2 linked regions of the Cricetulus griseus genome follow. The protein of the gene in region 1 purifies or fractionates together with the protein of each later gene. This does not show direct contact. Links are inferred from orthologs where the notes say so. Each region holds a gene or a part of one and is shown in the gene's direction. Other genes may lie near its edges. The genes, in order: Itpr1 and Erlin2.

Region 1 (3,812 bases):
AATTATTGTTGATAATTGTCATACTATTATTACTGCTTTGGTAATAGTAGCAATTCACTTTTAGCAAAGGAGCATTTTTCCTGGTGACTATACTGCAGCAGTGTAGGCAGTATTAAAAAGAGGTAAGGTGTAAGCTAGTGGTGCAGTTTTTTTTTTTTTTCTTAGTTTGTAACTTAACTTGGGAACTTGCATTAAGGCAAGGTGCCTCAACCTTGGCATTCTGACATTTGGGGCTAGATGAAGCTGTGGTGGCAAATGTCCTGTCACTATAGAATGTTTAGCAAAAGTGTCCCTGGATTGTGGCTGCTCCATATTAGTAGCACTTCTTTGCAATTGTGACAACCAAAAATGTAGCCATGTATGTAGTGCGGAGAAAAACTGTCCTAGTTAAGAATTCTCAGGTTAAAGCACACGGAGACCACATAGATTCTTCATGGCTCTGACACTGGGAGAAATAAAGAACAAAGTGGCTTTCTGTGTGTTTCTGGCTGGAGGAGGAGCAAGATTTCAAAGGATTTCATAAAAACTGAGTTCCATCTCTTCTTTTCATATAGGTTGGTTCTTTCTCGTTTTGAGTTTGAAGGCGTTGCCACTGGAGAGAATGCTCTGGAAGCTGGAGAGGATGAGGAAGAGGTGTGGCTGTTCTGGAGGGACAGCAACAAAGAGATACGTAGTAAGAGTGTCAGGGAATTGGCACAAGATGCTAAAGAGGGACAGAAGGAAGACCGTGATATCCTCAGCTACTACAGGTGAGTGGGGGGCCTGCTGGGCATGGACTGAGGGGTCCCACAGTGGTGGCACTTGGGAGCAGATGGTTTTCTTGTTGATCACTCTAAGGCAATGCTGTGGGGTGTGGATTTTAAACAACTTTTTCACAGGAGTCTCCTCAGATCATCAGAACACAGAGATCTTTGCATTATGATTTATAACAGTAGCAAAATTATAGTTATGAAGTAGCAATGGAATAATTTTATGACTGGGGGTCACCACAACATGAGGAACTGTATTAAAGGCTCACAGCATTAGGAAGGCTGAGGCACTGCTCTGAGGAGTGGTGTGGTATCCTGTAGTAAGGTTGCCCAACAGAAAGACATATGTGTGTTTTATGAGCTTTTGGTGGAAGGTCCCATGGACTCATAGTCCATCTTTGTCTGGTTGTGTGTCCAGGTCATAGGACACACAAGAGCTTGCTCCAGCCTCTGTCACACCTCACCCATACAGCACTGCTTGTCTATAGTACAGTCAGCAGCATGCAGGCTACAGGGTCAGGCTGTATCTGTTCAAATCTTCATCTCTATGCTTAACTAGACTTTTTACTTTGGCTGAGTTTGACTTTATGTTCCAAATCCCTCATCTTCAAACTAGGGATAATAGTGCCAGACTTCTAGAACATCTACAGAAAATCTCTCCCTGTATATACCCGTACCTGTATTTTCATATTCTACTTATCTGTGTGCATGAATCAAATATATTATAAAACCAGGGGTTTGCAATAATACAACTCATGCAGCCCTGGCCTAATAATTCAGAAATTGAAATACAGAACTGTTGGAACCCCTAGCACGATGCTCAAAAAGATTGAGATTTTGGAGTATTTTATATTTTCAGATTAGCAACATAAAACTGGTAAAGTTTATGCAAGATCACAAAAATCTGAGGAACTCTAGTACTGGATACTTTGGTGTGGTGCATTTCTGATGGGGGTGGGGGTGCTCCGTGTACTCGATCAGTTCTTGCCAAATGCCACAGATGCATTCTGGCTGCCAGCCTCCAGTTTTCGTAACTCCCTCAAGCCACTGTCATTCCTGGGATGTTCACCTGCTTGCTTGTGTTTGTTGTATGTCATCACTGTCCACCTGTGCTGTCACCTCAGTCCCTAGTCCTGGTCCCAGCTCCAAGGCCATATAGCCTTGACACCTGAAGCAAAAGAAAAGAAAAGAAAAAAAAAAGAAGAGACGTTGCCCACTAAATAACTCTAAAAGAAAAGGAAAGAAAAATTAGTACTTCTAATATTTCCTAATAAAATAAACAGACTTTTGCAGTTAAAATGCCTTTTCTTACTCCTGTATTCTAGTCTGTTCTCTTCTATTTATATATATGATGGCCTTTTTTTTTCAAAGTTCTTTGTTAATTTTTAAGGTATTTTATTTTATGTGTACACAAGTTGCCTGCATGTATGCATGTGCATCACCACATGTGTGCTCACTGCCTATGGAGGTCAGAAAAAGGCACTGGATTCCTTGGAACTGAACCTATGACCGGTTGTGAGCCACTGTGTATATGCTGGACACTGATCCTAGGTCCTCTGCAGGAACAACACATACTTTAGTCACTGACTCATCTCTGCAGCATCTCCTTGTATGTTTATACTGTATTCCATGTGTATATGTGGATGTTTCCTATTCCTCAAATTGTATGTAAATGCTACCTTGTAGCAGATACCATTCTAAAGCTCTCCTTCATGCTGTTTCTAAAATATATATATGAAAATATCATCTCTGTGTTAATGGAGGTAGACAGTTTCTCTAACTTTGACTGTTGTATGCCATCTATTTTGCATTTGACCTTTCATTATGCCACAGTTCAGTTCTTCACGTCACACGAAGGGCACATCCTCACTTAATTTTGCGTATACACATGAGTTTCCATTTCCTATGAAGAGGCGGATTGGTGGAAACCCATGTTTTTAACTTTGCTGAGCAGTCCTAAACTGAATGGTTCAATCTACATTTTAGCAGTAGCAACTTATGTGATAGAAGACCCTAGAGATATTGTCGAATTTTTAAAAAATAATTTATTTTTATTGTATATGCTTTGGTGTTTTTCCTGCATATATGTCTGTGTAAGGATGCCAGATCCCCTAGAACTGGAGGTATAGACAGTTGTGAGCTATCATGTGGGTGCTGGGAATCGAACTTGGGTCCTTTGGAAGAACAGCCAGTGCTCTCAACCACTGTGACATCTCTCCAGCCCTAATATTGTAGAATTTTCATTACACTTATATGAACAGTGTCTTTGATATTTCCTGCATGGTCTTTGATGAGTATAAAATGCAGGGGTGAAGTAGAAAGATATTATTTCAGGCCTAGTCATTTTTTTCCCTATTTATTTTATAAGATGAAGATTGCAAATGTAATCACATGATGACACAATTGCTTTAACACAGCTAGACCGATGTGTTACTATGGGATGCTGGCCCATACTCTGGCATGCCTTGAACATTTCCTCCATCTCCTTAGTTCAGAATCCAAAATTAGATGTATAACAATCATTTAGGGATGTCGGTATATAAGTTCATAGGAGTGACCTATGTCACTCCTATGAAATCTGAAGCCACCTGGACTCCCCTGTTGAACTACCCTCATATTGCCTGATCTCTGGAGTATGAGCCTTCTGTTATTTTCTCAGGTATCAGCTTAACCTCTTTGCAAGGATGTGTCTGGACCGCCAATACCTGGCTATCAATGAAATATCTGGCCAGCTGGATGTTGATCTTATTCTTCGCTGTATGTCTGATGAGAACCTACCGTATGACCTCAGGGCATCCTTTTGCCGCCTCATGCTTCATATGCATGTGGACCGTGATCCTCAGGAGCAGGTGACCCCTGTGAAATACGCCCGTCTGTGGTCAGAAATTCCCTCCGAGATCGCCATTGATGAGTAAGCCTGGGTCCAGCTTCCTGTAGAGATTTTATGTCACTTAAAAATCCGATGACTCTAATGTTTTGTGTACCAGGAGATAAACCACATACATGACCTAGTAAAATCATAGGAAAAAAAGAACTTTTTTTTCCTTTCAGATTTAAATAGAA
Region 2 (4,538 bases), on another chromosome or scaffold:
TTAAGAGGGAGAGCAGATGTTGTGGGGTGTAGTTCTAGAAATAGCAAAGGCAGGCCTCTGGGGACTCCAGGTCTCCTCAGAGGGTAAAGGCAAGAACACTTACCAATTCAGCCAACACAGACTTCAGACTAACCAGCCCCCTCCCCCTTCACCTATCAATGAGGCTGCTACGGCCCTAGATGGGACCTGCTGTTTAGCCTTAGTGAGTACTAACTAAGGTGGAGTGGCATTTGATAGAGAAAGCAACTTGAAACTGGAGATAGGGGATAGGATAGAGGTGAGGAAAGGGCCCTGTTGGGCTGTAATACCCTGGAAGCCCTTCCTGGGTTTTGGAGAATTCAGATGACCTCACATAGCTGAAGCAGGCTTTTGTTTTTAACGACAGAGAGATGCCTTCTCAAGCTGTGACCACACCCTCATCAGGGCACAGGACCCAGTCACTCCATGACCAGAGTTCAGGGGAATACAGATTCCATGCTTCAGGCTGGAGTTTGTACCTAAGAGTGGGCAAGGAGGGGATTCATTAGGGACAGAATGGGGAGTTAGCCCTTTCCCTCAGATAAGCTGTTTTTGAGACAACACGGTCTGTTGTCTGCTTTTGTAGCCACTGGGCATCTGGGGTTGGGGGCAGCTGCTTTTCTTCTGCAGTCCCCAAACATCTGGCTTCCCGGAACTTTGATTCGGTTTCAGGGCCTTGGCTTTGGGAGAGGTTCTTTCCAGAGTCCTAAAATCGTCTAACTTTGACAAGTGACCATCTGCTGTATGGAAAGGTTTTTGTTCATTTACTTAAAGCTAATATTAAAGTGGGCACTTTCTAATCTGCAAACAAAATGACTTTAGTGGCTGGTTCAGAAATTCCCTGCTAAGGAAGCAGCTTGGAGAAAGAGTGGGGCCACAAAGCGCTTGGTTCCACCCCCAGAACAAAATAGAAGAGAAGGCTCAATATGAAAGTCCCAATACCACGCTGCTGCGGGGTGAGAACACGTGAAGACCTTAGTCTAGGAAACATGAAGTCTGGTTCTCTTCCTGGTCCACTTTGTCCCTAGGTGCAGATGGCAGACACAAGCTCACCGTGGCAGGTGTTAACCAAGACAGGAAGCTCCGACTATTAAGAAAACGCAAAGGAAGTTTTCCATGACTGCTGTTGGCCTCACCCCTCACAAAATCAGATTCCGTCCATTAAAATCAGGGCAATAATTCCTTGTTAATCACTTTATGTTGCTGTGGGGACCTCGAGGCTAAACAAAGCTCTCAAAGTCTAAAGAGCAATTCAGTAGGGCTGTTGACTAGCGACGTCATAATCTGCACATTTGGAAGTTTTTTCATTTGGCTGGTGCGAGAGAAAAGCAGAGAAGAGGAGGAGAAGGCTGCATCGCTCTGGTACCTGCTCCGGAAAAAGAAAAACAGAAAGAAATCCAGCTCTCCCGGGATCGAAGGAGAGTATCTAAGCCATCTCCAAAGTCAGAACTTCGGAAGGTGATACCAGAGTCGTGGTGTCGGGAACCCACTTTCCCAGCGCTGGGCATCCTCAGACCTGCAATCCCAGGTCCGCCTGCAGCCACCGGGTCGTTTCGCGAGCGCCCCCTGGAGGCACCGCCGAGCACTGCCGTGCGAGGGGCGGGGCGGGCGGACAAACCCGGGGTAGGGGGAGGAGTTTTGCGCGGATTGATGGCATCATCGAAGCGACTGGTCCGGAAGGAAGTAGCGTGCTGAGGGGTGTGGCGGTTTCTGCGGTTGCACGGGGGTTCAGACGTGTACGGAGCGCCTGGAGGGACAGCCTGGTACGCAGCCCCCGCCCCTCAGTGCACGTTGGGCCTCGCTGCGGCGCGGGGATGGAGCTGATCCTGGCAGAGCTCCAGAGCTCTGGACCCCGCAGCCGCTCACTTTCAGTCCGCCCACCCGGGAGCAGAGAGAACCCCTGTGTGTCCAGTCTCCTGCCCACGGGTCCTTCAGCGGGTCCGAGCGGAAGCTCTCGGACGTGCCTGTCTCGTGGAGGAGGGCGGGGAAAGGGCGCGAGGTGGGGCGGGGTAGTGGTGGTGGTGAGGGCATTTGCAGAGAGGACGCTACTGTTGCTCGGCAGCTGGAGGCCGCCACGGTAAAAAAAAAAAATAAGTTAGATCTGAGCGTTGGAATCCGCGCCTTGTGCCAATGTGCCGGTCCGTCACCATGGTTTTTCCAGACGCTCGGTCGCATCTCGGTGCCTGAACGTTTGGGACCCTCCAGGAGCCCAGAGTACCCCAAGCTGAGGCACTCCCAGTTTCCTATAACCACCGCACTTGGGGGCAAAGGATATAGGAGAGTTCGGTTTCAGTTTTGTTTAGAGATCTGACCCGTTTAAGTCCAAGGGAATAACTGGGAAGATAGATGACAGGCCAGAGAATTCCTACCTCGGAACTCAACTGCCTGCTGTCTCTCTCCTCAGAGTCCCAAGGGAATAACTGATGGTTTCCTTCGAAATGGCAGGCAATTAGAAGTAGGAGGCTCTGTCCAGAAATACATAGCCGCAGCTGCCTGTCATTTGACATCCTCTGTAATTTGGGCCAACACACTGCAGCTGCCTCTCTTCCCTTACTTACAAGTGGCTCCAGTGACAACACATTAATGAGTAGTGAAGAGAAGGCTGTGTTTTGAACCCTGCCCAGTTGGCACCGGATCTCTGTTAGGTATGCCTAGGGAGCTAGTGCCTGTTCGCTGCAGTGGGCATTATACTCCCACAATTAAGGAACCGAATGTTGACCAAGAACAAGGATGATATGAGATGTAGATCTGGCTAGCATTGTGTTTCTACAACAGTCTGCTTGTGAATCACTTTCCATGAACTACAGCTTGGTGAGCTACTCTCAGTGCTTCGGCCTCTCTCCTACATGTCAAGCCATGCATTGTCCCCTCTCTTATCTCTAGGATACAGGTTCACTGATGGCTCAGTTGGGAGCAGTTGTGGCTGTGGCTTCCAGTTTCTTTTGTGCATCTCTCTTCTCTTCTGTGCACAAGATAGAAGAGGGACATATTGGAGTATATTACAGGTAAGGCAGAAACAGGTGGCTCCTCTCCCTTGTCACTGGCTAGCAGATCCTGCCAACATCTGTATATTTTGTTAAATAGGGGGGCCCTTTTCAGGTGGAGCTTCTAAGGCAGTGGCAATGGGTAAGGGTGTGTGTGTGTGTGTGTGTGTGTGTGTGTGTGTGTGTGTGTGTGTGTTTATTTAAATTTAAAATTGTCATTAGCATTTTTAAGGCAATGCCGATACTTATATTTATAGGATTACAGACAGAAGTCTCAAGGAATCACTACTCTCTCATGATCATTTCCGAGACACTGTTTTCCCTTGCATCCCTTGAAGAATCTTGTCTCCACACCGCCAGGCTACCCCTTCAGAAGTTGTGGAGCCCCAGTTCTTGATGGCAACTTGAGAAGTGTGCTCTGCTAATTTGAGAGACTGTTTTGTGTTGTTGTTGAGTTTGTTTTCCAGCCAGGGTTTCTCTGTGTGGTTCTGATTGTCACGGAACTCGCTCTGTAGATCAGGCTGGTCTCAAACTAAGAGATCCACCTGCCTCTGCTTCCTGAGTGCTGGGATTAAAGGTGTGTGTACCACCAGTCCTGGCCTGAGAGAATGTTTTAAAGTGAATATTTCAAGAAAGTATAAAGACTCTGCAGGCTGATTTATAGCAATCAAGGCAACTTTGGGAGAGTGACCCTTTAAATACTCTTGAGTTACTTTCTTTCCAGTGGCTTCTTCGACTAAGGTTTTCGTTTTAGGTTTAGAAGGGGCAATTTGCTAGGCTGATAGTTTTGCTTGTGGTGTCAAGGATTAAACTCATGTCACTCTACCACTGAACTACACCTCCAGCCTTTATCCACTGCCCCATTTTTGAGAGAGGGTCCCACTGTGTAGCTCTGGCTAGTCTGAAATGGTCTGTGTAGACCAGGTTGACTTGAACTCACAGAGATTTACCTGCCCAAGCTTCCCAAATACTAGGATTAAATGCAGGCATCGACATGTTCGGCTTGAGCCCTTCTTTTATATGGGTCTTATTTAGTGCTTGCTTATGGAACAGCAAGCTCCAGAATGCTCGTTGAGTTAGAATTGTAGCTCAGTGGAAGTGCTTCTGACTAGCATACTCAAGACCACTAATTAAAAAATAATAATAAAAAGGTTTAAACTTTTGTTGAGTTCCCACTTCCTCTTTAGTAATTTGTCTCTACCCTCTGCTTTCTTTTCCCCCAAAGCTTTTAATTTTGTCACTCATATACAGCTTGATTAGAAATATACATGTGTCAAAACATATATTGTATACTTAACATGTATTGAAGTGACTTTAAAATTATTCTTGAACCAAGTGTGGTGGCTCAACACCTGTAATTCCACCACTTGGGTGAGGGCTGAAGCAAGAAGGCTACTATAAGTTTTGGGTCATCCTGGGCTATATATAGCAAGTACTACAGAAATCAGGGCTATGTAGCAAAATCTGTCTCAAAAATAGTGAGATATCGTATGTGAGTCCCCAGATGCTTCTGAAACATGGTGTAGCTCATGACAA

What was found.
Region 2: the proteins of Itpr1 (region 1) and Erlin2 purify together in Homo sapiens (affinity purification with western blotting, with the first as the bait; 4 studies listed by BioGRID). This does not show direct contact. The link is inferred for Cricetulus griseus from reciprocal best matches to the Homo sapiens genes ITPR1 and ERLIN2.

Annotation. Positions count from the first base shown.
Region 1 is NC_048601.1:36,112,257-36,116,068, reverse strand, and holds part of Itpr1 (inositol 1,4,5-trisphosphate receptor type 1), read left to right. Parts: intron 1-554; coding exon 555-749; intron 750-3,408; coding exon 3,409-3,660; intron 3,661-3,812. UniProt on the Homo sapiens protein: Inositol 1,4,5-trisphosphate-gated calcium channel that, upon inositol 1,4,5-trisphosphate binding, mediates calcium release from the endoplasmic reticulum (ER).
Region 2 is NW_023276807.1:56,817,833-56,822,370, reverse strand, and holds the start of Erlin2 (erlin-2), read left to right. Parts: upstream 1-1,654; 5' UTR 1,655-1,781; exon of another isoform or gene 1,782-1,920; intron 1,921-1,957; exon of another isoform or gene 1,958-2,095; intron 2,096-2,901; 5' UTR 2,902-2,916; coding exon 2,917-3,023; intron 3,024-4,538. UniProt on the Homo sapiens protein: Component of the ERLIN1/ERLIN2 complex which mediates the endoplasmic reticulum-associated degradation (ERAD) of inositol 1,4,5-trisphosphate receptors (IP3Rs) such as ITPR1.